4 linked regions of the Mytilus edulis genome follow. The protein of the gene in region 2 interacts with the protein of the main gene of each other region in a biochemical or structural test. Links are inferred from orthologs where the notes say so. Each region holds a gene or a part of one and is shown on either strand. Other genes may lie near its edges.

Evidence for each region.
Region 1: the proteins of E3 ubiquitin-protein ligase parkin-like (region 2) and ataxin-3-like form a complex in vitro, tested with the Homo sapiens proteins (4 studies listed by BioGRID and IntAct, with this or other methods). The link is inferred for Mytilus edulis from reciprocal best matches to the Homo sapiens genes PRKN and ATXN3.
Region 3: the proteins of E3 ubiquitin-protein ligase parkin-like (region 2) and ubiquitin-conjugating enzyme E2 G2 form a complex in vitro, tested with the Homo sapiens proteins (6 studies listed by BioGRID). The link is inferred for Mytilus edulis from reciprocal best matches to the Homo sapiens genes PRKN and UBE2G2.
Region 4: the proteins of E3 ubiquitin-protein ligase parkin-like (region 2) and probable ubiquitin-conjugating enzyme E2 7 form a complex in vitro, tested with the Homo sapiens proteins (5 studies listed by BioGRID). The link is inferred for Mytilus edulis from reciprocal best matches to the Homo sapiens genes PRKN and UBE2G1.

Annotation. Positions count from the first base shown.
Region 1 is NC_092346.1:61,398,203-61,406,019, forward strand, and holds the start of ataxin-3-like, read right to left. Parts: upstream 3,027-7,817; 5' UTR 2,982-3,026; coding exon 2,958-2,981; intron 2,505-2,957; coding exon 2,340-2,504; intron 1,633-2,339; coding exon 1,496-1,632; intron 220-1,495; coding exon 65-219; intron 1-64. UniProt on the Homo sapiens protein: Deubiquitinating enzyme involved in protein homeostasis maintenance, transcription, cytoskeleton regulation, myogenesis and degradation of misfolded chaperone substrates.
Region 2 is NC_092353.1:63,687,091-63,694,884, forward strand, and holds the start of E3 ubiquitin-protein ligase parkin-like, read right to left. Parts: upstream 3,004-7,794; 5' UTR 2,946-3,003; coding exon 2,766-2,945; intron 1-2,765. UniProt on the Homo sapiens protein: Functions within a multiprotein E3 ubiquitin ligase complex, catalyzing the covalent attachment of ubiquitin moieties onto substrate proteins. Substrates include SYT11 and VDAC1.
Region 3 is NC_092357.1:21,471,450-21,478,794, reverse strand, and holds the start of ubiquitin-conjugating enzyme E2 G2, read left to right. Parts: upstream 1-4,319; 5' UTR 4,320-4,426; coding exon 4,427-4,469; intron 4,470-7,345. Other genes in the region: DNA topoisomerase 2-alpha-like, read right to left, coding at 479-572, 969-1,184, 3,977-4,003. UniProt on the Homo sapiens protein: Accepts ubiquitin from the E1 complex and catalyzes its covalent attachment to other proteins. In vitro catalyzes 'Lys-48'-linked polyubiquitination. Involved in endoplasmic reticulum-associated degradation (ERAD).
Region 4 is NC_092349.1:6,893,742-6,901,405, reverse strand, and holds the start of probable ubiquitin-conjugating enzyme E2 7, read right to left. Parts: upstream 3,027-7,664; 5' UTR 2,921-3,026; coding exon 2,875-2,920; intron 1-2,874. UniProt on the Homo sapiens protein: Accepts ubiquitin from the E1 complex and catalyzes its covalent attachment to other proteins. In vitro catalyzes 'Lys-48'-, as well as 'Lys-63'-linked polyubiquitination. May be involved in degradation of muscle-specific proteins.

The sequences.
Region 1 (7,817 bases), on a different chromosome or scaffold from region 2:
CAAAGAATTATAAATCATTCTTTATATTTTTAAATCTTTGCCTTCACTTTAAAAAGTTACTTACCTTCTTGTTGTAGTTGTGTTAAGAATAATGATAAATAAGTATCTGATATAAGTTCTGGGCCTGTAAGTAGTGAGTTTAAATTAAACCATTGATAACCAAGTTTTCTTATTGCTAACCAGTGTTCTCGAAAATTGCATATGTAAGCATTCATTTCTCTGCAAAAAAAATAAATATAAAAATATTATTAGTATCAATCTGTCTGATGATGAAAGCTGATTTTATCATCTTCACAATTTATCATGATTTATAGAAAAAAATTATTACAAATAGTGTTGGACACCACAGCAAACTGTTTCAATAATTTACTAGTCTACACATATAAAGAATAAGACAACAATATGCTAGCAACATTAGCTGAATTAATACTAGTACAATATGTACTAAGACATAATCTTTCAATCAGTTTAATTGAGGTCTGGAGCTGGCATGTCAGTTAACTGCTAGTAGTCTGTTGTTATTTTTGTATTATTGTCATTTTATTTATTTTCTTTTGTTACATCTTCTGACATCAGACTGGGACTTCTCTTGAACTGAATTTTAATGTGCGTATTGTTATGCATTTACTTTTCTACATTGGCTAGAGGTATAGGGGGAGGCTTGAGATCTCATCATGTTTAACCCTGCCGCAATTTTGCGCCTGTCCCAAGTCAGGAGCCTCTGGCCTTTGTTAGTCTTGTATGGTTTTTAATTTTAGTTTCTTGTGTATAATTCAGAGTTTAGTATGACGTCCATTATCACTGTACTAGTATACATATTTTTTATGGGGCCAGCTGAAGGACGCCTTCGGGTGCGGGAGTTTCTCGCTACATTGAAGACCAATTGGTGGCCTTTGGTTGTTGTCACTTTGACAGATTCCCCATTTCCTTTCTCAATTTTATGATCAGACTTGTACACTATTCTTCAAAAATATCAATAATGTTTTCTTTACGACCTGACTGGAGATTAGTTAGAATCGTTGAAAATGTAGTTTTTCCTTGTCATTTACTAAAAAATGTCAATATAAATTCATTCATTAGCATTTAAGTCTGTTTATATTTATAATTAAGGTGATGGTATTTCAAGTGTTTTATCATAACTTTTAGTGGGACTCATGTTGCTCAGTCTCTAGTTTCTATGGTGAGTTTTATGTACTGGTGTTTGTCTGTTTGTCTTTTTATTTTCTAGTGAAAGTTTTTATCTTTTTATGTGCATGTTGTAATTTTATGTAATGAATTGATACACCAAATATCAAATTTCTTTGGTTGACCTTTGACATTGAAATCAACAAGATTCTCCCTTTCCAATTTGGATAATGTACAAAATGTATACATATTTCATAAATGTTACTCAGATTAATATGTAGATATATGCAATACATACTATATTGTATCATTCTTTTCTGAAAGCTATCTGCCAACCTTAGATTCTTAACATCATATTATAATTACTCACACAGGGTTAGTCCTAGCTGTTGCAGCAATAGGATCTTGTGAATTATAGGGTAACAGATGTAAACCCCATACTGACAGTCCTTTTTCTATTACTTGTATTGAAAAAAATCCACTGTCATCAAAATTATTGGATGGTTGCTGAAAATTAGATTTAAAACTTTATCTTGAGTACCGGTATACTTCATGTACATGTACATGTATTTTGTATAATTAATCATCATACATGTACATGTACATGTAGTATTATAATACATGTTATAACATTTCTTATCAATTTTCCAGAAATAACAAACTATTTAAGATTTATACAACTCCTTGTTTATAGAAATGAAATAATACATGACACAAGGCTTGCTAAATGTATATATACAAATGTATATCCAAATTGTTCACGTTGTTGGTAAACAGGGAGTGACATACATTTGTACATGTACCATACATGTAGATGATGTTTTATTTATTTCCAGACATTTTAAGGTATCTGCACAGTTATGCAATATCACAAATAACATGACATTCTCTCTAACTATGATCACACTCTCAGTCTCTGTCTCATTCTGCAAACACATCTATATCCTTGGCCTATTCAAATTTTACAAGTTATAACAAAATCTCCATAATTCCCCATTTTTATTAAGCTATATGATTCTTAAGAACATTTCCGCACTTTCTAGACTTCCAGTAAAGTCAATGAGAATAAACATGGTGAAGTACATGTACATGTATATAATGTACAGTATATTAAACAAACAAAAATTTGTAAGCATATTCTTCAACTTAAACTTGACGCACAGAAACAAAAAGAATGAATTTAGTGTGGTAAATACAATATATCATTATTTTACCTCCATAAATCTTTTATATTCTTCAGTTTGTATGCCACCTACTGCCATTTGTTCTCTTTCTGATTCATCTAACTGCTGAGCAATTTCTGCTAAATCTACTGGACTGAAGTACTGTCCTTGTATTAAGGCATTTAGACAGTGTTGTGCACACAGGGAACCCTCTTGCTAAAATTAAAGCATAGGTAACCTATGATTGATCATTACATAATATCGTATACTTACAATTGCAATTTAAGTTTCTGATTGTAATACACTGTACCAAATTTAATAGAAACCCAACAAAAGAGTTACCCCTCTTTGATGATGAAAATTTCATTTAAGTTCTAACACACTTTAAGATTTTCCTAAATTTATGACAGTCAAACGTCAACGAAATAAAAGTACACTGACCAAATATAATTGCTTAAGGTCACTTGAAGATACAGTTAAACTGTAGTATGGCATCAAATCTGGTGATTTTGTCAGTGATGCTGATAGTGATAGACAAAAATGTCACGACTGCGGTCAAAGGACGGTTCAGTTGACCACTCAGACTACCGAATCCTAATGCAAGCAAGTCTGTTTTATGAAATATATCGAGAAAATGTATAAAGTTGTCACTGTAAAGACAACTTTTACCTGTTCATGAAAAATTGTGTCCATTTCAGTCCCGGTGATGAATTTTATTAGGGGAGGTAACTGTTGTCTAATGGTACATCGGACTACCTACCATTTTTTTTAAATAGTGAGAAGAATGCAACGGTCTCCTTTCTTATTATATGAAATCAGTTTGATTTCCAATGAAAATTAAGGGGAAAGATATGATTTACATAATGATAAACATTTCGTTAGAGTAGAGCCAGTTAGATGTTGAAGGTTCAAATATGGCGTCGGCGTCCGGTTTTAGACCCAAATGGGCTAATACTCCGCTTTAATGCGCCTCCGATTGAGGAACACAAAAAATTGTGTGTAAACAAAAAATCTCTGTGTAGTGATATTGAACATATATCTATGTTAACACATGACTGCGCTTAACCATTTGTGTTGATTTGGAAAGAAGAGGACCATAGAATAAATGTGTGAAAAATATAGAGTTATTTAATGTATTCCGTTCAAAGTACTTGTATTACATTTTCAAAGATATTATTGTGTGAAGAAGGAGATATTTTTACCACGATGAGTCGCATCGCGAAAGGATTTTTTGGGTATGCTTATTTACGGGAAAATGAATCACACTTCTTACCCCTTCTAGGAGAGGGTAGGAGGGGTCCTGATCCCGAATCCCGGGCTTAAATACTAGAAATCCCGAGGTCCCGATATTAAATAAATTTAAATCCCGACATCACGAAATTCGAGAAAAGAATTCCCTGATCCCGAAAGGGTCAATCCCGAAATCCGATAAAGGTCCTATCCCCCCTCCTTCAACCACACATGTGAAAATGTCTCAGCTTCGAAAGGAGCCATCATACATATCCAAGTTTGCGATACGGACTGAGCTACAGAAGAAAACGTTACCATTACCGCCTATAGCGAAACAATTGCGCATATTGCCCCAAATATGGTTTCGGCGCTCGCGTCGGCAGGCCCAGCTTTGGCGTCGGCGTCCAACGCTAAAGATAAATTCTAATTGTAGCTTGCTCGGTATGCCGTCTGGACGATATTTTGAAAGTGACAGTGTTTGCTACAAGTTGAACCTTTTACGGATGTTTCAACACTGAACTTTTTGGTTCATGAATATACTACGAGGTTTATATCCATTTGCTAGTAGATTTTTTTGTTGTTGTTAAATTTTTGTTGTTGATTTAACTTTACATAAAAATTGTATAGTCACCTATCTGTAATCGCTGTGAACGTTAACTTGAACTTTACATGCATGCAACTGAAGTGTGAAAAGGTAACCTAGTTCTCGTGAATGCAACGTTACTCGACTTCAGAACCCGGCATGTCTTAGTATCCAAAGAGGTAGTCTATAGGGTGAACTTTCAATATAAGTTAATAACACGTAAAATTTAGATTAGAGTGGTGTGTGATCGGCTGCCAGATATGATCTGATATGATCCCATTAGGTCATGCGAATATTTAGACAATAATTCAAAGTAGCTAATGCATGTCATGTATCCTTGAACTTGTTTTTATGTTATCTTTAATACAACTTTGCTTAAAGCATGCGAACATGATAGAACATATGAACGTCGACCAGTTTCTGGTCACCTTGCATTCCTTTCACTTGTTCTGATATATATCCCAGGGGCGGATCCAGAGTTTTGGAAAGGGGGGCGGAAGTGTCAAAGCTTTTGGGACCTTTTTGGGCTAAAAAACATAAAATAAGTGTCAGTATATGTACTATTTAAACGGTTTGCTGGCGTGGGGCATGTATTTTTTTTTTTTATAGTTGCTGTAAAGTGTAAGGGTTGGAAATTTTTGATGCTGTTTTCTCTCTATTAATTGTCTATCATATAATGATAGTATGGATCCAAAGCTATGTACTGATATATTTGATGTGGGATTTGTCAGTAAAAAATAGACATGGAAATTCTCGCCGGTTTGTTGCAAGTTAAGTTGTCATAACCTCACAGATTTCTTCTTGTAAACAAGATATACGCCGGGCTATTCGATGAAATTTACAATACGGCCGACACGAGTTAAAAGGACAAACATGCAGTTTTTATCCAAATGTTTGGTTGATATGTTTCACTCAACAAAACTAAGGAAAGTGAGGGGTTCCAAATCAACCAAAGGCTACGAAAGAGTCTGAAATGACAACGAATTTATGAATAACGGTCGACAAATGGAGACATAAAGGCCACACCCAGCAGGCAGGTTACAGTCTGGTCTTGAAAAAAGTATTCAATATATAAGTCCGGCGAAACAGACATTCAGGTCAGACATGCAAACCTCGGCCACAAAAAAAATACGCCCGTTTTTATTCATCATGTTCATTTAATGCTAAATAATTTTGTTGGCTAATAGCAAAAAAAGTGGACAAGACTATTGTTTCAATCCAGATACGGCCAGAACTGAGTTTTTCTTAAGGCAAGAATCAGAGTCAAATTTTTTTTCTCTCAAATATCTCTGACTGACACCTCAAATAAAATGGTTTGTACCTGAGACTTGAAATATTTCTAGAGCTTATAAATACTGACTGGGGATCATTATTCAATTTGTTATTTATAAAAATAGGTTGGGGCATTTGGGGTTAAACATGTTTTCGTAGGTAAATAATATGGTGGAACATTTTCTCATGAGAGTGTATTAGTCTATAGAGTATTTACTATTACTTTCTGTTTGGTGGAATAGTGAAATAGAAGTAAATACGTTCTTGCTCAATCCTGTTTCGCTATAAAGGTTTCATGATTGTCATGACATCCTCAGCCTAAGTAATGTGTTACTGTAATTTGAATTTCAAAATGACCGAGTGACATTTTTTCAATGCACTGGTCACCTCCACCATAGCAAATCACATGACTTTGACAATCAGTTAATATTCAGCTAAAATATCTTTATAAGTAAAGAATTGTCGTATTTATAAAAATTAAATACACGGGAAATGGCAAAGTTCACGAAGTCTAGTCTGATTAATCATTTTACAAAAAAAAAAAAAAAAAAGTCCGAGCAAAAGGGGGGGGGGGGCGGGGGCGTACGCCCTCTACTCCCCCCCTCTGAATCCGCCACTGTATCCTTAATTGTCGCTGTCATGAAATTATGACAACCCATATGTATCTAATTTGTTTTGCTCTCCACACAACACATTAATTCTTTATAAAATGAACAATATATATGTGCCTGTCCCAAGTCAGGAGCCTGTAATTCAGTGGTTGTCGTTTGTTTATGTGTTACATATTTGTTTTTCGTTCATTTTTTTTATATAGAGGCTGTTAGTTTTCTCGTTTGCATTGTTTTACATTGTCATTTCGAGGTCTTTTATAGCTGACTATGCGGTATGGGCTATGCTCATTGTTGAATGCCGTACGGTGACCTATAGTTGTTAATTTCTGTGTCATTTTGGTCTCTTGCATGTGGAGAGAGTTGTCTCCGTGATTGGCAATCATACCACATCTCCTTTCTTATAAACAAGAAAAAAAGAAAAAAAAAAACTATTGCAGCAAATATGAATAAAGATGGGTGAAGGGTAAACGTCAATACAACAGCAACTAACACCACTGACAGAAATAACAAGACTTAATATTTCAAACTCTGAGTCTATCGATTTGTGAATAAATCTGCAATTAGGGAGCCTGCATTCTTTGCGGCCTACACTGGCTGAGACGGATTGAGGATTTTTGAAAGGGGAACTTGATTCAAGAGAACTGAATATATACCGCTGAGCGGAGCTTGTCGAAAAATTCTTTGGACGACTTTATGCTAAAAAATATATGTTTTTCAGTCATAAGGGGGGGAGGGCAGGGCCGTAACTAGGGTTTTAATTCAGGGGAGGCAGGGGTTTGGAGGCCGCCGATTGAGGCCCTCAAGATCAGGGGTTCGGGGGCGCAGCCCCCGCCGATTTTTTTCTCTCGGTAAAATGGCTAAAAATGACCTTTTCCTTCGATTTCCTCACTTTAGGAAACATCAGTATTGTTGAAACGTGAAGCAATTTTTATGTAAAAACAAGCTGAGGTTGCTGTTCGGAGTGAGCGAAGGCTTCGTCCTGAAGGTCGTACTTTGGCCTATAAATATTAAAATTAAATACATCGTGACCGCAGATTTTTTGGTTTTCTCTCGATAAAATCAGTGGCTTAAAATGACCTGTTTTCCTTCGATTTCCATCAGTATTGTTGGATCCTGGAAGCAATTTTTATGCAAACAATTATTATCTGTATTTAAAGATTATTTTGTTAGAAATCAAACTGGTAAGTTAAAAAACATATAAAGCAAGATCAAAGAACACAAGATATTCTTTTTATCGGGGACCATGAATATCAATTTTGTTGAAAGCTGAACAGACATGTATATAACTACAACCAGATAATATTTATATACGTCTAGTATATACTTAGTATTAAAAGTCCCTGCTACAACGAATGGGAGTATTAAACTACTAAGGCATTGACCATAATGACATTGTTGTTCTCGTTTCTCGTACGATCGGGAGACGTTAAAAAAATTATTCTAACAGTTGATTCAGCCGGTAACGAATTTCCGATATCATAAAAGATTCACAATACAAAGGGAACTTACTTCCTCTGCTTAATTGACGGCTCCTAAATAAATGTGAACAGTTAAGTTTTAATCAAAATTGTCGAAAGCAAAGTTTCATATGTGTTCTCATACGAATAACGAATAACATGACGGACGGCCACACAAAAAAAATATTAATACTGAAACGTTTCACTATGATCGATCAAAAGTCCGGCAAATGACATATATCACATATCATGATAACACTGTGAACACTATGGTAAAACTGTAAACTTGTGTTGTTTATAATATAAATTTAAGTTCTTCGTATACATATTGTCAATATATCATCTTATTACTTCAAACAAACAAAAATTGGTGTAG
Region 2 (7,794 bases):
GCATCGCAAGGGAGCAGTCCTGTCTGTGTATTCATTTCACGAACTTTAATCTTTCTCTTTACAAATAAATAAAATATAAATAATATGAAACATCCATGGATTAGTTTTTATGCCCCACCTACGATAGTAGAGGGGCATTATGTTTTCTGGTCTGTGGCTCCGTTCGTTCGTTCGTCCGTCCGTCCGTCCGTTCGTTCGTTCGTCCCGCTTCAGGTTAAAGTTTTTGGTCAAGGTAGTTTTTGATGAAATTGAAGTCCAATCAACTTGAAACTTAGTACACATGTTCCCTATAATTTAATCTTTCTAATTTTAATGCCAAATTAGATATTTACCCAATTTCAAAGTCCATAAAACATGGAAAATGATAGTGCGAGTGGGGCATCCGTGTACTTTGGACACATTCTTGTTATCCATGTTTCTTTAACCTTAAAAATTGAAAGAATATCCCATATTCCAATTTGATATTATTGAGGATCGAATGGTAGAACCTTTAACACAGGATTTTGTCTTTACTTATTCGGGACTACGGTATTTCGTTTCTTTATATTCTGGGTTTCGGAATCGGACACCCCAGACCCTAACCCCTAAATTTATAGATTCTGGAACTAAAATACCACCAACTATTTCCAGAAATAATTGGAAATTACAGACCTACATGTAAACGTCAAAAACTCCAGTCCAATTTCCCCTGTACCCATACCAGATATACTTACTCTATAGATAGAATCATATACCTGTATCTTATCTCATTCTATCCCTAGTTTGTCTACTCTTTGTCAGCATAAAAGCGAGTTGAATATTTTGAAACTGCGACTGTATGATGGTTCTTACAGGAAAGCTTAATTCCCTTTTGCAAACAAAACTGTTACTACCGATGCTGCTACCGAATTGCTGATGGAGAAGGAATTGGAAGAAGACATTGATCATTGTGTTGATGACAATGTGCTACCTTTAGAAACACAGACTGCCCTGAAACGACTGAAAACTTGGAAAAGAGCATGCATGAGTGGCGAGAGATTGTGCGGTCTTGCCATGCTCCATGTTCATCGCGATAAGGATACCAGTAGACCAAATTATGATTCTGAAACGATTTGACTGAACCGGCAATAGAAAAATTTGGCAAACTCTACTGAATCGATGTTTGTTCTATGTTCTGGCAGCAGACTCAAATCAGTGATATTTGGATGATTATCTTACATATAAATTTAAATAAAGTTGTTGGTGTTAGTAAAAGTCTTAAAATATGAAAAATTTATATAAAGTGTTCAAATTCAAAACATTATCAAACTCTCTAAAAATGCCTAGAATGCAGGATTTTACACCATTCATTTCATACCCTCAAAAAAAAATTTTCGCCTCGCTTCGCTCCGCTCAATTATTTTGCCTCACTAAAATAAAATGCCTAGTTACGGCCTTGTTGTTCAGGACTTTTTGTAAATAATAAATACTAGCACATCATAGAAAAACCAGAGAGTAATGTGTTTTAAAAATCTTATAACAAAAAATTCTGTGGATTTTCTACAAAAAACTTGGTTTTATTTTCATCAAATTCCTTTTAAAAAAAAAGCTCGGGGGGTGTCACTTACTATATAATTAGTGGTAGGGATGAGCCGCTGCAATAGGTCACTTTTTCATGCTCTATGATATATGAAAAGGGTAAGAAATTCAGAATTAAATATATCAATAGGTTGATATTATCACTTGCTTGATTATATCATAAGTATCTAAAACTAATCAGATGTTCGTATTTATTTTTGATGCGTTAAACCACAGTTGTAAATGCATCACTTATTTGTCAAACCAATTAAACTCTACTTATTCTGATGTGGTTTTTCCACTGATGCCAGTGATAGATGCAATAAATCCGACCATTTTGACATTTGCACCTAATTCAGTGGCGGATCCAGAAATTTTCATATGTGGGGGCCCACTGACTGACCTAAGAGGGGGCCCGCTCCAGTCACTCTTCAGTGATTCCCTATATAAGCAACCAAATTTTTTCCCAAAAAGGGCCCCCCCCCCCCCTAAATCCGCCTCTGTAATTAACATTCAAGGGTTTGTATACATAAAACATTAAACAATTATTTACAGAAATTCCATTGTAAGAGGGAACGGCATTGTAACTTTTATCAGTTTTTAATTAATATTAAACATAAAACAATAACAAAGACAACAACACCGATCAATTACGGCATGGTAAGAGTTTATTATGGTCGACATGTTTCGCCAACAAGGGTGGTGTCTTCAGGACAATATTATACATGAAATCAAACAGTGAAGTACAAATTTGGCGGTTGTGTGGTTCGCTGAACAATAGAGGTTGTTATGACGACGTTATAGATATAAATAGAAAGAGAAAGTGAAAGTAAAATAAGAATCTATATACTAATGTACCAGAAAATGAAAAATATTCAAATATATCTATAGGTCTGTTTTTTGTTAATTGATATATATGAGGGGGGATAGGACCTTTATCGGGACTCCGGGATCGGGTGTTTTTAAGCTCGGGATTTCGGGATTGACCCTTTTGGGATCCGTGAATCTTTTTTTCGGATTTCGTGATGTCGGGATTTGCTTTATTTAAATTCCCAGATCCCGAAAGGACCTCGGGATTTCGTTTTTTCAAGTCCGGGATTTCGGGATCAAGACCTCTCCTATCCCCCCTCATATATGACAAGGTACATATTTTTGATAAACAAAATATATGAAAAGGGTGGGGTACTTGATACCAAAAAAAGTTTGTAGTGATCATAAACCTTTATCACCTTTAAAATAGCATCATTTTTCAATACACAGCCTGTAAATATCAACTGTATTTCTTCAGGTGGTAGTTTAATTCTTTTGGAAATTTCTCTTTTCACTTTCCATACATTCCAGTCAGTATCTACTTCGATTGTAAAAGACGAAGAAACATTGTATTTTACATTTATTACAATGTTTGTCATCTGAAAGCAATGTCACCTACTTTCAATTTCAGGTCAGAATTCAGAAGTGAAAGTAGATATCTATATTACTACGCATAATTATACCTGATTAAACAGCTACAAATGTAATTATAAGCGGACATCAAACAATTTAAATAGTGTTTGAAAGTTATACGGTTATTAATGAATGTTAATGGACAATCAAATTTTATCTATAGATGTTAAAATATAAAAACTATATTGGCGGATGATGTCACGTGGAAGTAGTGATCAGACCACATGCAAAACAACATCATGGCTTTATTTCGAGTTGGAGGACAACTTCTTCGATCAGTAACAGAAAGTCGAACTACGTCGTTAGTTGCACTTTATCACAAAAATGTAAGAATATATATTTAAATGTATCTGAACACGTTTATTTGTCAATAAAGATTGCTTGTACAAATTGTAGATGTTGTCTTAGTTTTACATAAAAGTTATGCAATGCCAAGTCCTTCATCGAAAGTTTACATTATTATACACTCATTTATTCGATTATGATATCAGATTAGTTGTTTTGGAATAGGCATTTTTTTGTGAACCATATAAACAGTTACAAATAAATTCTGCCTTTATTTCTGACATGACATTTTCATGATTTTGCAGACAGAAATTTGAGTTGTTGCCAAAGAGTTAAAAAGTTGTCTCCCTTGATGATTTTCAGTCAAATTAAATTATTGTAGTAAAACATGACAGATAGAATGAATCACATATTCTATTCAAATTAAATTATTGTAGTAAAACATGACAAATAGAATGAATCGCATATTCTATTCAAATACTCAAACAAAAAATTATTCAACTTTTATTATTTTTATTTGAATAACAGGTAATTGATCATTATGAGAATCCCAGAAATGTTGGATCTATGAATAAAAACGACAAAGATGTGGGAACGGGATTGGTTGGTGCTCCTGCTTGTGGTGACGTCATGAAATTACAGGTATGATAACATTATACATTATATATATACAGTTTCCAGACTGTAATGGTAACCACCATCATCATCAATTGTTGGGGAGACGATTTGAAAGTGGAATAAATTGTTCATATAAAGTTTGACGATTTGGGAGTTCGACAATAATGTTAACCCTTTCACCGATAGCTGCCCAGACAGAAGCTACTCTGTCTGAGACGATGGCTTCCCTGGCTACTATTACTCAAGAGGGAGATCTTCATAATAAATGTCAATAAAAACTAGTCTGTAGTTATTTGTGTCTTTATTTCATTCACTAACACCATGTTCACAGTTTTGTTCATGTTTGATATTTTTTTCTTCATAAAATTTTCAAATTTTCGGCATGATCTAGTTGAAATTCTGAAAGATCTATTCTTTGACCCAAAATCATTATTTTTAACCCAAAACGGCAAAATTTTGAAAAATGAAATGAGGCTGTACAAATTCCTTACACTCAACGATGTCCATTCCAAGTGTTGTGTACATAAAACGACATTTTCAGTTTACTAGTTTGGCTTCAATTCTTCCATATTCTTTTTACAAAAATGTTCCTAAATTTTTAATTCTTGTAAATTTCCATTGATTTTGACACGGTTTTCAACAAACGGAAGCGCCATGTTTACACTTTCATCAGGGTATTCAACAAAGAAAGATAACTCGTGTTTGCACTGTTTTGAGCGGGAAATATAAATAAAAGAGGTATTCCGATCCCGGTAAAACAGGACTCATCGTCAGCTGTCTGAAGCGTGAATCTCGGTAAACCAGGACTCATCGGTGAAAGGGTCAAACAAATAGAATTATTATATCCATTACATATAACTAACTCGAATGTTTGTTAATAACTGCTTTTTAATCCAATATTTAAAATCATTTCATATTACAATTTCACAACATTGTTTCGTGTTAACTTATCACATGATAAAGACATGATCTGTTTAAGTCTGACCATTTGACATACAATTTTACACTACTTAAACCTGATTCCCAGAGATGATCAAAACAAAGTAATTAAATCGCCACAGCTGCATTTGCAGACGACTATTATTTGAGCTCTAAATGACTAAGACTGACCCACTGAAGGTGTCATAAAATTTAGGAATCCTGTTAAGATTAACAATTAACTTTCTACACTGTAATAAATTCTTTGGAAAATACTGTTATCTTTAACTAATCTTAGCAGAGGACAATGTAGTTTTATTTCAACATAATTCTATTGAAAGTTAACGATAAAAATAAAACTTCCAAAAATATAAGTGCAATTAATAAAAAACGATTTCTACTCTATTAAAAATCTTAACTAAAAACAATCATACTACAGTGACTTGACTGTTAGTGTTGCTATCCACCAATTGCAACTCATTCAAAATTTTGACCAAATCGCAATTTGTTTTATAAAATCAAATTGTTCAACTGGTCAGAATATTGAACAAATTGTTCAGTCAAAATGTGAAAGTACAAGGTGATAAAATAAAATATACTTACAATCCTATAAGACTTTAACTCCACTTTAATGATGTTATTACTAAATTTGTCTATCAAGCTGTATAGTTATATTATAGCCATTACCATACTAAAGGTAAAATGTTTTATTTTGAATTACTATAAAAATGTCCAAACTAAGCTTTTATATAGTTTTTCTTTCGAAAAGGATTTTATATTTATTCCTAACTTTAGTTTGACTCAAGCAAGTGTTATGAAACTTATTATGTACAGATTGCTTACTACCTCATAACTCAAGTTGTACTTGGGTAGCTTCATTTTTACTGTTCTTGAGTTATGTCCCTATATAACATAATATGCAAGTGGGGATCATCTTCCATTTGTGTCCCATGGTCACATTCCCCCTTTATTTATTTTTTGGTGTGGGATGGGGTTGGGAGGGTACCCTTAATTACCATTTGAAATGCTTTTGGTTATATCAGCTGATCTTGAAACATCTAGTTTTTATACGACCGCAAAAGTTGAAAATTTTTTGGTCGTACATGTATATTGGTATCACGTTGGCGTCGTCGTCGTCCGAATACTTTTAGTTTTCGCACTCTAACTTTAGTAAAAGTGAATAGAAATCTATGAAATTTTAACACAAGGTTTATGACCACAAAAGAAAGGTTGGGATTGATTTTGGAAGTTTTGGTCCCAACATTTAAGAAATTAGGAGCCAAAAAGGGCCCAAATAAGCATTTTCTTGGTTTTCGCACTATAACTTAAGTTTAAGTTAATCGAAATCTATGAAATTTTGACACAAGGTTTATGACCACAAAAGAAAGGTTGGGATTGATTTTGGGAGTTTTGGTTCTAACAGTTTAGGAATTAGGGGCCAAATAAGAATTTTTCTTGGTTTTCGCACACTAACTTTAGTATAAGTGAATAGAAATCAATGAAATTTAAACACAAGGTTTATGACCACAAAAGGAAGGTTGGGATTGATTTTGGAAGTTTTGGTCCAAACAGTTTAGGAATAAGGGGCCCAAAGGGTCCAAAATTAAACTAAGTTTGATTTTAACAAAAATTGAATAATTGGGGTTCTTTGATATGCTGAATCTATAAAATGTACTTAGATTTTTGATTATTGACCCAGTTTTCAAGTTGGTCCAAATCGGGGTCCAAAATTAAATTTTGTTTGATTTCATCAAAAAATGAATAATTGGGGTTCTTTGATATATGCCAAATGTAACTGTGTATGTAGATTCTTAATTTTTGGTCCCGTTTTCAAATTGGTCTACATTAAGGTCAAAGGGTCCAAAATTTTCAATTGGAGTTATCTTTCTTTGTCCAGAATAGTAGTTGAATCAACTTAAATCATTGTTTTATACAATATACAATGTATATATTCACTTTTACTACCAACTGATAAATTAAAACAATCTTTACCATTCAGTGATAACAAGCACTTTTTGTCGATCCTGCAACTTTTGTTGCAGAAAGCTCGACATAGGGATAGTGATCCGGCGGCGGCTACGGCGGCGGCGGCTACGGCGGCGGCGGTGTTAGCTCACTTCTTAAAAGCTTTATATTTTAGAAGGTGGAAGACCTGGATGCTTCATACTTTGTATATAGATGCTTCATGTTACGAAGTTTCTGTCAGTCACATGTCCAATAACCTTGACCTCATTTTCATAGTTCAGTGACTACTTGAAAAAAAAGTTCAAATTTTTTGTAATGTTGAATTCTCTCTTATTATAAGTAATAGGATAACTATATTTGATATGTGCGTACCTTGCAAGGTCCTCATGTCTGTCAGACAGTTTTCACTTGACCTCGACCTCATTTCATGGATCAGTGAACAAGGTTAAGTTTTGGTGGTCAAGTTCATATCTCAGATACTATAAGCAATAGGGCTAGCATATTCAGTCTATGGAAGGACTGTAAGGTGTACATGTCCAACTGGCAGGTGTCATCTGACCTTGACCTCATTTTCATGGTTCAGTGGTTATAGTTAAATTTTTGTGTTTTGGTCTGTTTTTCTCATACTATATGCAATAGGTCTACTATATTTGTTGTATGGAATGATTGTAAGCTATACATGTCTAGCGGGCAGATGTCATGTGACCGTGACCTCATTTTCATGGTTCAGTGGTCAAAGTTAAGATTTTGAGTTTTGGTCTTTTCATCTAATTATACTATATGCCATAGGTCAACTATATTTGGTGTATGGAATTATTTTATGATCTTTATGTCAGTCGTGCAAGGTTTTTTTTACCGTGACCTCATTTTCACGGTTCATTGCACAGTGTTAAGTTTTTGTGTTTTGGTCTATTTTTCTTAAACTATCAGTAATGGGTCAACTATATATGTTGTATAGTAGCATTGTTAGCTGTTCTTGTCTGCCTGGCATGGTTCATCTGACCTTGACCTCATTTTCAAGGTTCATTG
Region 3 (7,345 bases), on a different chromosome or scaffold from region 2:
AGTATTAAAATTCCTTAAATAAATGTTTTAAAGGCTATAGGAGATAACTTTAAATTAAAATTCATTAATGCGTGACATATAGTTGTGAACTGCTACGGCATTTGGTTTTTGGTGGAGAGTTTTCTCATTGGCAATCATACCATATCTCTGTTTTTATAATAATTACAAAAAGAGAAGTAAAACAAGAATATGTCAAAAGTACATGAAAGCCCAACTCTTAGTTATCATTTCCATCTTCAATGGACCGTGAAATTGGGTAAAAAAATTTTGGCATTAAAATTAGAAAGATTATACCACCATATGGAACATATGGTCTAAGTGTCAAGTTGATTGGACTTCAACTTCCTCAAAAACTACCTTGACCAAAACTTTAACCTGAAACAGGACAGACAGACGAACCCACAGACCAGCAATACATAATGCCCCTCTACTATCGTAGGTGGGCATAAAAGCTAAAGCGCAATTACAGAAAATTTACCTAAAATTTCATCAAATATTTTGTAAAGTCCTGGTACAAATGTGATCTCTCTGTTCACCATATGACCTGCTTCGTCATCATAAACCCACATTGCCTGTAATAAAATTGATCAAAATTTAAAATCATGAAGTTATATTCAGATGTTGCTCTCTTTTCAATTTGTCATTTTAAGCCCTTATAAAAATTATTTGTTTTTCAAAGACCATTTATTTCATTGAAATCATTCATTGCATGCCACAATTTTAATTGAAGCAGTTTTGATACACATATTTGTAATCCAATCTCTTTAAAATATTTGTAAAGCATTCAGACAATTTTTTCAGATAAGTTATTTCCCCTGATGAAAATAAAGCACTGGTCATTTGTTGCTAGTTCAAATCAAACTTCTTGCATATAAAAGGTTCTTTTGGTATCCAATGTTCATATGTGATCTTGTATCCTAATGCTTTTCTTCCTGAGGAGACATACCATGATCATTAAAGAGACAAACCTGTGTTAAAGTTTCAACTGAACCAATGTATGAATCAGGTCTAAGTAATATATGCTCCAGCTGGGATTTTTTCTGGTAAATTCTTTCAACAGACAATCTTTTCTTTGATGCTTTAGAGCCGGCATCTCCACCACCAGGCAAATGGATTTCATCCATGTTCTCAGATTCAACCATTTTCTTTTTATCAGCTTTAGAATTCATATTGTCAAACAAAGTCTGAAACATAAAATTTACAAAAAATGATAAAAGTCAGAAAATATAATCTTTGAGAGTTTTCGTACTAAACTCTATAGGGTTGGTACATTTTTTTTACATGTATCAATCATATATACAGGTTGCGAGTTTTTGTAAAATTATTATTCTGAATTATGTTAACAATACTGACAACAGGCTTAACAGCATTGCTGTCTCATTGTTGTAGCATAAATGTTGCAGGCAACACAAAAAGTAACTACATGTACTTAGCAAGCATACTTTAATAGTCTTTGCTAATGCATATACACACTATAGATACAATGTACATTTATCTTCAAACAATTCATTCTATATCGTTTAACCCTTTTCTCCATAATGACGTCTTTTGACACCATCCCCCTTACTCCATGACGCCTTTGGACGCCTGTGTAGTACCTCAGTTGAAACACTGTGACTACAAAGTGTCTGCAGTTGACTTAATAAAATTTGTATCTGATATGAAAAGGGATATCATAGGAATATCCAACTTAAATTTATTTGATGAAATAGTTGTTTTTCACAATGCCTTAATACTTTAAATCATATGTTCAGCATTTAATTAAAAAAATCCTATGCGAATCAAGTATGCAAAAAAAAAATTTCAATGGAGGAAAGGGTTCAATAATTACTCCTGTTGTTTTGTCTGAACTAATTACAAAATCTGACAGCTGGCAAGTTAGTCACTAGTCTGATGCCCCAGACTAGAAAATATTGATTCGGACAAGTGAAATTTCAAAATTTTAAATAGTCATATAGGGAAAAATTTTGATATTTAGTTTCCGGACTAGTAGATGAAATCGTTTTCTGTGCAAACTGGTCCTAAGAGAGAAGCATCAAAATGGTAAATTTTGCAAACATACATGTAGCAACATTTTTTAGCAAACTATAAAATAAATTACAAGATTACCTTGCTCTTCTTTGTCATAAAGACTGTAATATTAATTTCTATATAACAATTAAATTTCTGAACCTGCCATGGCTAAAAATTAAGTCCTTTCTAATTACTTAAATGAGAACCCTGGGTAACTCTTAACCTGTTCATGAAAGAGGGGGGCAGGACCTTTTTCTGGAGGTCTGGATCTGGTGCTTTTAAGGTTGGGATATCAGGATTTAAATTTCTTTAAATTCCAGACCTCAGGATTAAATGTTTTTAAGCCTGAGATTTCGGGATCAGGAACCCTCTGACCCAACTCATCAAACCTAAACAATTTTTTGCAAAATTGGCTAGTACCCTCTTTTTGTTGGATATGCTAAACTTGATGGTTTTTTTCATGAATGAGTTACACTGGTAGACACAGTTCAATCTGTAATGATTATTGATCGTTATGGTTATAAACCAGGAGAATCTTGTTGTATATATGCATATTTTATGCCTAAAGAAGCGTTGTGTGGATTTAGACTTTTGGCAAGGAAATTAGTGGCAGGGTCGAAAGTTATAGGGGTGATCGTAAGGAACTCTCTATGCTCTGTAAGGCTAACATTTAGAGAACACCCCTATTAAGTAAATAGTATAGTCGCCCTGTGGAATATATTAAGAGAACGAGAAACGGCATTCAAGGCTGTCGGTTGGCTGTCGATGAGACATCATCAGAGCGTACGTTAGTAATATTAAGACGCTAGGAGAGCTTTAATATTCAGGAGACACTTTGTACTGGGTACAAGTGAACGTACAGGTTGATCGGATTGACAAGGCAGACTTTCCCACTCAGAGGACAAGCTGTAGTAGCCGGCACTGTCTGGTAGTGACAGACTGTCCCACTCGGAGGACAAGTTGTTCCAGCCCACTCTGTCTTGTATTGACAGACTGTCCCATTCGGAGGTCAAGCTGTTCCAGCCACATTGTCTTATAGTGACATAACGTCCAATTAGGAGGTCAGGCTGTTATATTGTATAAACTTGTATATATAGAGTTCATACTTATTTTGTATCTGCAAAAAGCCAGTGTATATATTTTGGTTCATTGTGCATAACGTAGATAGTTGTAGTTTTTAGTATTGCTGTATTGTTTGTGGACAACTTGGATCCAAGTATTAACTGGAACAGACGTTTGAGATATAAACGCCTGGTTACACATTACAAATCCGACAATCGTGTAAACAATGACTGTCAAAATTGTAGAACAAGCTTTCTTTACAGTCGTCTATTTAAAAAGTCTTTTGTACTATTGTTTACCCTTTTGATGTTGAGAAAAAAGTCCCCTTATGTCTGATGTAAATTATACAGAGATTCTTTTGAAATGATTAACAATCTAGTTTAAAATCAAAATTGAAGGGAAACCTTAATTTCCAACTGTAAAGAATCAGCCTGTCCTCTGGAAATCATCAACTACCATATTGCAACCTGGTGAAAGTTGTTATGTGACTTCATATAATATTCCTCATTTTATGATTTACATTTTTGTAAACACATCATAAAACCCTCCCCCTTTTTTAGTAGAAGTATTTCAAAGTCCTTTAACTTGCATGCATGAAAGATGACTACAAAATGTAACTGAAAACAGAAACAGTATGACATGACTATTATAAATTTACCCTCAAAGGACTTGTAGCCATTGCAAGGCTTAGAGGTATCTAAAAGCTCACTCCGGTGAATGTGATGTTACTTTTCCGTTTAAATCTAGTGCGCTAAAAACAACCAATCAAATCACATGGATCAATCACATGACCGGTCTAGAAGTTCATGACCTCTAGATAAAGAAATAAACACAGACCCTTCACTTGTCATTTTTACCTGGAGAGAAATCGTCAATAAATAATCGGAACATAAATACTTACAACCCATTCAAGGCTTGCCTGTGCCATTGTTGCCTTGCTTCAAGCACATAAGATGAAAAAATCTAATTAACATAAACGATCCGCAAAATCCAAGAGCTTTTCGGTCGCCCCTATTTTTTATTTGTCATAAGACACCAATCTGCAATCCGTCCTATTTGATAAATTTGAAAATATTTCCAAAATTAAAAACCAGATGTCATGTTTTCTAGAATATATTAATTCTTGTCGGAATCGTTTAATATTTCAACGGGTTTCTGTTAAATGTCCATTGTTTGCTAAAAACGGAACAGTCCATTTGATTGGTCGCCATTCAATGTAATTTAAACTTTAACCAATGAATACTTATTTTATTTCGTCGTTCAGTCGAACACTGTTTTTATCTTCCACGTAAAAGAATCACAACACGATTTTATGAGTTGAAAAAAAGTCTGATAAAACTGATAATGCAAAATGGCAGGATCAGCCTTAAGAAGGTTGATGGCAGAATACAAGCGTTAGTTTCAGATATGTTTATGAATATCTCATTGGGTCTTCAATCAACAGAGCTTGTTGTTCGGGTGTCGGTTTCAGGGGCGGATGCAGGAATTTTCGAAAGGGGGGGGTGCTAACCCAGGGCACCCAGGGCAAAGGGGGGGGGGGGGTGCAAAACATATGTCCCGATACAAATGCATTGATCGGCAAAAATAAAGGGGGGGTGCGCACCCCCGGAACCCCCCCTGGATCCACCACTGGGTTTGGCATAAAAGTTTTCGAGATATTTCGGCCACACAACCAGTTCGGCTATAGTTGTTTCGGCCGAAGTCGATTTGGCCACACCCTTTTCTTATTGTTCTAAGGGTTCATAACATCAAATTGACTAATTTGACCTATCTAGTTTTAACATAAACTGGACCCCTGTTGTGTTCACTTATCGCTACACTGACAACACCCTTTTCTTATCGTTCTAACATCAAATTGACTAATTTGACCTATCTAGTATTAACATAGCATGCACCTTATCGCTAATCCCGGTTGACCCGGCCGCTTGAACTTTTGACGCATTCAACAATCACTTTTGTCAGATGTTTTGTTTTGTGACGTCAAAATTTTACGGGAACCTGTTTGATATCCAGTAATAGCCGACATATAGCGATATGGTGTATTGACAAAAAAAAACTCTTTAAAGAAATCTGAGTTCATGTTCTAGTGGTTAAGTCAAGACCAATGTTTGAGGGGGGATAGGACCTTTATCGGGACTCCTGGATTGGGTGTTTTTAAGCTTGGGATTTCGGGATTGACCTTTTTCAGGATCCGGGAATCCTTTTTTTTGGGATTTCGGGATGTCGGGATTTGCTTTATTTAAATTCGGGACCTCGGGATTTCGTTTTTTCAAGTCCGGGATTTCGTGATCAAGACCCCTCCTATCCCCCCTCATGTTTTCAGTGCTGAAGGTCCCAATTTTGATTCTCACGAAAAATATCAGTACATCAGAATTGTAATTTTCATACTCTCGCACACATCTCTGGTACCCAGACCAGAGTTTAAACTAGAACGGGTACTTTTGGGACCTTAGTTGGTCAAAGTTGCCCCCTACTTTGACATGGAGATCAATCTTCTGATATCTCTGGTTTGTCTGTTTCCGCCGAATGCCACAGTGGTCTTCTCCGAGTACTTCTGCTTCCACCACCCTAGTAATAGACTTCCCAGTGTCCTAGCACTCCCTTTGTTTTTGGTTGGGATTGACTGTCCTTGTAAAAATAATTGTCGTATATATATACATGTATATGTACGTTAGTGACACATCTCCATTAATCCTGATAGGGCGTGCACATGGACGCCACTGTACCCTCGCATCTTTTAAGGTTTTTTTTTTAATAACTGAGGCATTTACCAGTACATACATACATTCACATATATTATAATTTATTTAAGAATTGAATGCTTCTTTTTGTAACTTCATTGGGGTGTAAAAGCGTTGACCGAAGTACATTTTGTATGAAGAGTGAAAGTGTAACGGTTTATTTCTTCCTCTGTGATATTTTGTCCTGAGGATAATTTGTCCCGGTAATTTTTTTCCAGGCATGGTGTTTCACAGGTTGATTTTTTCCAGAGGAGTGAAAATCTATCTGTGTTATGCGTATAGTATGTAATGGTTATATTTGCCGTACTATATTTCACAGAACCGTGTGAAATAGAGTCCCATTAACTACTATGTAAGTTACTCACAATCGATTTATACCTGACTATAATTATAAAATGTTTCACAAAGGTAGACCAAATTTGCATAATTTATCAAAGGGAGGTAATTATGAGCAATTTAAATTTTAAATATATTTCTGAATCTATTTTATAGTGAAATTTTTCCTTGAATCTTTTTTTTTATACATACATTTATATAAAAAGATGACTTACAACTTGATTTAATAAGACAGATAACATTTCACAGGTAAAAACTATCCAGCTGTTAAACATGCTTTTGTTCCAATATATTGTTATGCTATGATTTATCTGATTTCCATATAATCAACAACTACATCTCTGTCCCCAGACAAAACTATTTATATAGTTAAAACTATCATCATAATCAAATTCTTCTATTACTGTTAACAGTAGTAATGCAACTATATTTCTACCTTAGTTTTAATTTTATATTTGCACTGAGATCTGAAAACAACTCACTTTTACATGTATTTCACTAACCTTGTTTAATCATGATATTATTTTCACAATTACGATCTTTGAAATTACTTCTGGTTTTCTTCCCTTTGTTTCATGATAATTTTCTTTTTAAAAGGATGATATTGACTTGAATATTTCAGGAAATTTTTCAAGGATAATTTGTGAAATTATTTCCCATTATAATACATTATTTTTTTTAACAATTTCGCTTTATTTCAAATACACTAATATTATTTCATAGTATTTTTAAAGGATAAGTTTTTTCTAATAACTATTCAATAAGTTAACTACCTAGATAGAATTTCACGGCAAAGGAAAAAATATCCCAGGGAAGTATTTTCCTCCGGACAAAAAAATAACAACTGCTGTGACATTTTTTCCTTTCGGATCAAATTTCACCTGGATATAATTTTGCTTTACACAAGCACTTCATTCTAAAAATGTGCGCACGGTCAATGCTTTTACAACCCTATGAAGTTACAAAAAGAAGCATTCAATACTTATTATTACATTTTTTAGCTAGGATCATGAAAACATGAATTTTATCATTTTTTTTTTATTTAATTCACCTGGGCACTTTATTGTGGGACCTCATGTTATCATAAATGAAAAGTTTTATTGAGTAATGCAATTGCTTAAGGAATAACATGTGATGTGCATTTAGCCAATCAGAATAACGCATTATAGTGAAACATACATTTAATGTAATTA
Region 4 (7,664 bases), on a different chromosome or scaffold from region 2:
AACAATATCAATGATATATATCATATAAAAGAGATGAGGAAATAAATTTAAAACACTGTTTATATATATGTTAAGAGTGCAATGACCTCAGTTCAATTGATTGTTTTTGACATGTCAATTTTTTACTTTTGTTTGATACTTCAAATTTGCAAACATCCACCATGTTTGTACAGTGTACATTTAGAAACTATGTGATTAAAATAACAAATAACAACTGACCAGTGTTCTCCCCAGGGCCTTTCAGCATCATCGTAATGTGATGCTATATTTCTGAATGTGATGCTATCTGAATTGAATCATTTTATTTTCTTATACATTGTTTATGGATGTGATGCTATAATTTATTTTTCAAAAGATGGTATTTCAAATTTCCTTGTTTACCAGGATGCTAAATATATGAAATATCTGGGAAGACCACTGCTGACGCTAAACAAAAATAGATACAAGGGAAATACAGAAGAATTTCCAGGTTAATAATTAAACTAAAATTGAACTGTTAAGTTCAAAACTATGATCATAGATTTCAAACATTCAATATAACATGTATAATAGCTAAATGTTTTCAGTAATTGTATGTCTAACTTTTGGTTAAAATGTTAAAGATTTCCTGCTACTATCTGATTTTATTGAAAGAATTATTAATTTAAAGTGATTTTAAGTCTTTACAAATTTTATCAGAGGTGGATACATTTTTAAGCCGTTTTCACGATAAACTTTTAAATCTACAGGTTATGTACAATGTAAGAGCTCAATATTTGAAATTTTTTATTAGATTCTGTTAGACAGTAGAGATGAGTTTTACAGACCCTAAAGGAATTTTACAAGCTTGGGCTGCTGGGCCTGTGGTTAAACCTGAGTTTTCTTAATGACATTTAACTTTTGGTATATAAATTTCACATAATTTTCAATCCCTTTGAATGTCAGATTTTTAACTGGTATTTCAATTCTGTTTCAATTAAGATTTAGGTATGTCTTTCATTGTATTAACTTATTCAATTATTTGCTTTAAAAGAATTTTTCATACTTCAAAGAATTTAGGACTGTCAAAACATTTGCTAAAAATAAATGGGGAAGGTGTACCATGGATGATGCCCCATGATGAATATCATATAAAGGGACATAATTAGTGAAGAAGGGTAAGAGTGATGCTACCCAAATTTGTACTTGATCTAATTTTTGTTGTCATATATAAGTATTGTGTATGAGCTTCTTAACATATGAATGAGGCAAACTTTAGTTGGACTGTAAGAGAAGGGAAACAAACAAAAATAAGCAATTTTTCCCTTCGTAAAGGTGCACAACTCTAGAATCGTTAAAGTGACACCACCAAAAATTCAATTTTGATCTGTATTTTGTGGTAAAAAGCATAAGCATTGTGTATAAGTTTCATAATATTTAGTGGAGGCAATTAAAGTTAGAGCATGGAAACCAACTTTGGGACGTACATGTATGAACATACTGTTGGAAAAGGGTAAAAACTTAAAATACAAAATGTACCCTCTGCTACATAAAAACTGCAAGCATTCATCTGACACACTTAAAAACAGTCCAGTTGAAATATCAAGTTCAACATCTGTTATTTGTCAAATTAACCTATCTTGAGTGCTACTGCACACTCAGAAATGTCTCGCCTGTTTTACTTTAACTGAGTTCATGTTGAAAGTCTGTAATATGAAAGTTTACTACTTGTAGCTATCACATAAACTCAACATTATCAATGTTCTATGAAAATGAGGTCATGATCAGATAAACCATGCTAGACAGACGTATACACCTTACAATTGTTCCATACTCTAAATCATGAAAATAAAAAAAATGCACGTCACCTGTCTCAATTATCACTTCTCCAGAGGGGGTCTCATTGGGGGGTTCCGATCCCGGATCCCGCTTACTGTTTTGTCAGATTCCTGTATCCCGCTTACACTATGTACGTAAGCAATTCTCATTTTTTGGTCATTTCCCGGGTCCCGCAAGACCTCATTTCCCGCCACAATAATTTGACTTTCACGTGTCACGCTTTAAAAAAATCAGCAATCCCGCGTCACGCTTAGACCCCAATGAGACCCACTCCAGACTGTTGACATGTATGAGGTGTACCTGAAGTCTCCCCATCATGAAAATCACAACATCAGGGCATTTTCAAGAACTGGCAAGATCTGATCCTGTGCCTAAATAAATACTCAAAGTACCGTGAGAAAATTACATGTACCAGAAGCAATATGGTCTACCATGAATGATGAAGAAAGGAAAAGAGTTACATGTACATGTACAAGTTGTATCAATTTTGAACTTAGGATCGGGATCAGGACAATGATTTTTACGGTTAGTTTGGCTGCAAAAGGGTTCTCTTCTCAGGGCTCATCATAACCAGTTGTCGAATTATACAAACAAAGGAGTGACCTACCATGCCATCAATATTGACAACAAGTCCTAAAAAGGGCCCTCAGAGCAATCTGGGAGTAGGCAGCGACCTCCTACACTAGGGAAAAACTTTTTACCATATGACCACAGAAAAAATATATCTGATTGTGAGTACACTTCTCAATCAGTTCAACATAAGACCAACTTTGATCATTTGTTGATAAATAGTTTCTTATTTGATGAAGAAATTTTACAGTTGGGACCATGCGTGTCATTTGTACATGTGGCGATTGAAAATTTCCACACAGAATATTTTAGAGAATTTAACAACGTGTATAAATATTTAAACATTGTCATTTTTAATAAACAAATCTTATTATTAATGAACGTGTCGAGATGATTCATATGCGCAGACGTTTTCGTTTCTGTTCAACAAGAGACGGAAAAGGATGATGCCACTTCAATTTTGGGACAAATTCAAAGACTATGTTCTCCCTATTTTGTATTCCTCACCACGTAGCTGCCTTTGTAAAAGGAGCGCTGACTGGTCAACAGCCATGGGAGAAATATTTCCACGGCTTTTCCACTCCAACGGATATTTTTATTCTCGGCCTCTGGAAGTGAAAAATGCGCAGGTGCAATCGTTTGTTCACAGCTGAGCGACAGGGGAGATAACTGTAAGTTTTCGCGGACTTTTTAATTTTTATTTTCAGTGCGCAATCAACTTTTTTTTAATATACTCTTTGGTACAATCGAAATTAACTCGGTGTTGAATAAAATACACCAAGGCTTTGTATAGTGATACTTTACAAATCCTTGGATACATTACCTCACATTTATTGGCTAATAAGAAAATGTAAAAAAAAAATAGAGCCACCAAACTAATTACAGTACCATGTACTTACAATATCAGAAATAAAAATCCTATAAAAAAAGAGACTCCCCTTGCATTTTATCCATTATTATTACCGGTATATATATTATCATTTTGTATAGAAGACTCAACTTGTGTTTCATCCATTGTCATTTTGGTAAACGGACAGAAAGTCACAGGACAAAAAGTCACAGGACATAAAGTCACAAATTTCGCAGGACAAAAAGTCACAGGACAAAAAGTCACAAATAATTAGTTGACAATTGTTTGAATATGTAAGAGAAATAACTTGAAATATTTACTTTTTATACATATATTCATATTAAAATTTAGGAAATGTGTCATTATACTTGAAAAATAAAGATTTATTTAATTTTACCAGTGCAAAAGAAAGATTTCTTGGCACTATGAAGCCATTTAAGTGCCAAGCCACTTTGACATTTCGTTTTTTTAACAATTATTTAATTATCTTTGATATTTGTTTGATAAATTTTATTTACAAAGTTGGTTTATGTACAATAGTTCAAGAAAAATGCAAAAATATTTTTGTAGAAATACGCGTTTTTTATTCAAAGAAAATAATCAGAAAAAATGGACTGTGACTTTTTGTCCTGTGACTTTATGTCCGTGACTTTTTGTCTGTGACTTTCTGTCCTACATTCGTCATTTTGTATAGAAGACTCAACTTGCGTTTCATCCTTTAATATTTTGTTTAGAAGACTCAACCTGTGTCTCATCCTTTATTATTTTGTATAAAATACTTACGTTGTGTCTCATCCATACCTGCATCCATACTAAAATAAATGTATAATTGAAAACCTGTAGTAACGTGAAACTAAAATTAACATTATACTCGCCGTGGACTTCATAAGTATGGTTTCACTTGTGTCCAATCCATAATTTTACGAGTAAATAAAATACGTTTTAACTAAAGAGTATTATCGTCAGCTTAATTAAAAAGGGCTCCATGTTCAATAAAATAAGATATGTCATTCATTGAAGTATTAAATAATGTAGGTCCTATGATTGAGACTTTTAAAATGTACCCCGTCTTGCTGTCTGCCCAACTGCTGAGTATTCATTGAAAATCTCCACCTCAAATGTAACAAGGATATAGGATGACCTTGCGGTTACAAAATATCTTGAGAATAACGCAAGTCTTTGTCAATTAAAAATGATGGCGTCTAAATATTTTCATTCGATTAAGTTCAAATCTATACCATGTATACGAAAAACTGATGTAAAAAAGTATGAGCAATCATACATTTAGATATGCAGCAAATATGAATAAGAAGATGTGATATGAGTGCCAATGAAACAACTATCCATCCCGTTGAAGGTAGGATGTGTAAAAAGTAAACAATTCATGATAGGTCAAAGCACGGTCTTCAACTCTGAGCCTTGGGCTCTCACCGAACAGTTAGCTATAAAGGGTCCCGAAATGACTATATATCAAACAATTCAAATAGAAAAACCAACGGTCTGAATACACAGCTACTTTTGCATAGGTACTATTTCTGTACCAAAAATCTGTAGTACTGGAAATCTACTTTTAATATTCAGTACTATTTTGTTACTTTAAAGTTATTGTAATATTTAGGTACCTGTATTTTACAGTACTTGATTTGTACTTGAAATTTAAGTACTACAGATTTTTTGTTGCATGGTTAACATTTTCAGCATTTTGAAAGTTTGTCTTCCCCAAATCTCATAAAGTTACGATGTTCAAACATGGAATACTGTGATCATTGTTTGTATTATTTTTGTACCAATATTTTAAGTACAAATCAAGTACTGGAAAATACAAGTACCTAAATATTACAATAATTCTCAAGTAAAGAAATAGTACCGTAAATATTAAAAGTAAATTTCCAGTACTACAGATTTTAAGTACAGAAATAGTATAAAAATAGTACCTATGCAAAAGTAGCTGTGTAGTCTATGCTAAATAAAAAAAGAAACGGGGAAACACTAATGAGCCATACCAACAAACGACACTAAATCTCCATGGATTTCCAATTAAATAATTTTCAGATCTTTTTTGAATTGCCTTATACATATGTAATGTTACACAATGAACTTGAAATGAGCAAATACAAAATCTCGTTAAAGGAAATGAGATAAGAAATTAAATGTTAAAGCATTTACACAATAGACTCTGACAACGGATTACAAAGCACTTGTAATTAGTATGTAAATGTACAGATTAAAATGATTAAAATTGTACGAAAACAGAGCACTTGTTTGAATAATGAATTACAATAAAAAAATCAATGAATGGAAAAGTTACTATAATTTGACACCAAAAATAAATGGAAAATTATCTTGCATGGTTACTCATTCTCTAAATAATAGCACATGAGCTTCTTTTGACAGTAAGAGGATTTTATGCAAATAGATGTATATATATCCTGATCTTGGTATTAAAAAAGACAATTAGAAACTCAGTCAAGTTTACGCAGGGAGCATATGTACATTCCTAGAAAAGAAACGATATTAGTTTTATTTTGAAATATAGATATATACTACCAGAAAAACACTGAGTGGAAACATAAACAAAATACTCAAATACAATATATTGGAACTGTAAACGGTGTCATTGTACAAGGAAAATATGCAAAATAAGAAAACACTGACTGAGTGGAAACATAAACAAAATACTCAAATACAATATTGGAACTGTAAACGGTGTCATTGTACAAGGAAAATATGCGAATCTCTATAATGTAATGGAAACTGCACCACACGGCAAAAAGGATATATAGGTATGTAGTTGCTTTAATATATATATTTTATGTGTATTTGAATGTTTTAAGGACGCCAAACAAGTATAGTAGCCGGTGTTTTATATGAAACAATAGGAAAAAATATATACCATTACAAATTTGATTAATTCTTCACCGTCAACTTTCCTGCAGCAATGGTACATGTGAAAGACGTAAATTGCGTCAGCATATTTTGCTGTTAAAAATGTGTTCTAGGTATAGTCCAACTACTGTATTACTAGCCTGTCAACACCGAGGTGGTGTGCTCGAACCCTGCAAGTGGCACGACTGCGCTCTACTCCAATATCTTAATTGACATGGATTCTCATTTTTTTTTTTATGAAGGTCGGCGATGATTTCCGGGCACTCATGCTTCCACCACCAATAAAAACTGGCCGACACGATCAGGGGGTTCCAACCAAGGATAAAAGGTTCCAAATATAGGTCAAAAGCATTGATTTTCAACAAAAAGGGGGTTATAACCCCCACCCACCCTGATTCCGCCACTTAAGATATAGACAGTAGTGTTTAAAGTGGCGCTTCGCTGTACAGATGCCCTACTTATGAACGCTATATATATTTTTAATGCATAGACATATTCTTGGAGGATGATCTACTTACCCTTCCTACCACCTGAGACCAAGTCTTAAGATTTCTATGTTGCGTTTCATATATTATTGTCTTTTTGGTCTTTTTTCTTATTTTGTTATGGCGTTGGCAGTATATTGTGCCGATGTCTATTTGTTATTTTTGATATCCCTTTTGGTATATTTCGCCGCTCTTTTAATCCCATTCAAACAATCAAATTTGGACCATCATGGATCACAGAAAGAAATACATGAGCAAAACATGCTTAACTCAACTAGTTTCTTATGATGTGCCTGCCCAAAGAGGTTTTTAAAGAATACCAAGATATTAATATATAGTGACTAAAGCCTATAACATATTGTTTTGTTGTTGTTTTTTTAATTGCTGTTTGTCACTACATATTATTTTTTTATTTTTGTAGAATAAGACTGTCTGGTTTGTTTTTTGTTTATTGTTTCACATTTTTAACCCCGGGGCTTAACAATCATAACTTATATATCATACGGTTTGTGTTTTGCTTATTGTGAAAAGCCGCACGGCAATGGAAAATATCTGTATAATTGATGACATCTTTCTCTCGTTTTGCGTTTTCTTGTCACATATCTTATTCATAATATGAAAATAAGGAGATGTTGATGGATTGCTACTACAGAAAACATCCATTAAATATCGAGAAGAATGATGCGATCATTTACTGATTACTTTCGTGCGGCTTTCCTTATAGTATGCGCATATCTTCTTATCGTTCGCCCGTATACTTGAATACCAGTCTCCGCAACATTTATAATGGTCTTCTGTAGGGCATCCACTGGTCCATATAGTTTCTCCTTAAGTGTTGTTGGCGAATGTCTCCTTGGGTGTTGTTGGCGAATGCCATATCTTATCAATCTCAGACATCTCACTGCCTGATGGATCTTATTAGTCTTTTCAGTGTTGCACAAGTTCAAACAGGTACAGAAACACTGGTTAATCATATGCATGCCGCATAACCCTGGGAAACTCACTCGCAGAATTTTTATTTCTTTTACGAAAAGATGATATTTTAGCCAAGAATGTTGAATCGATATATTTTTAAT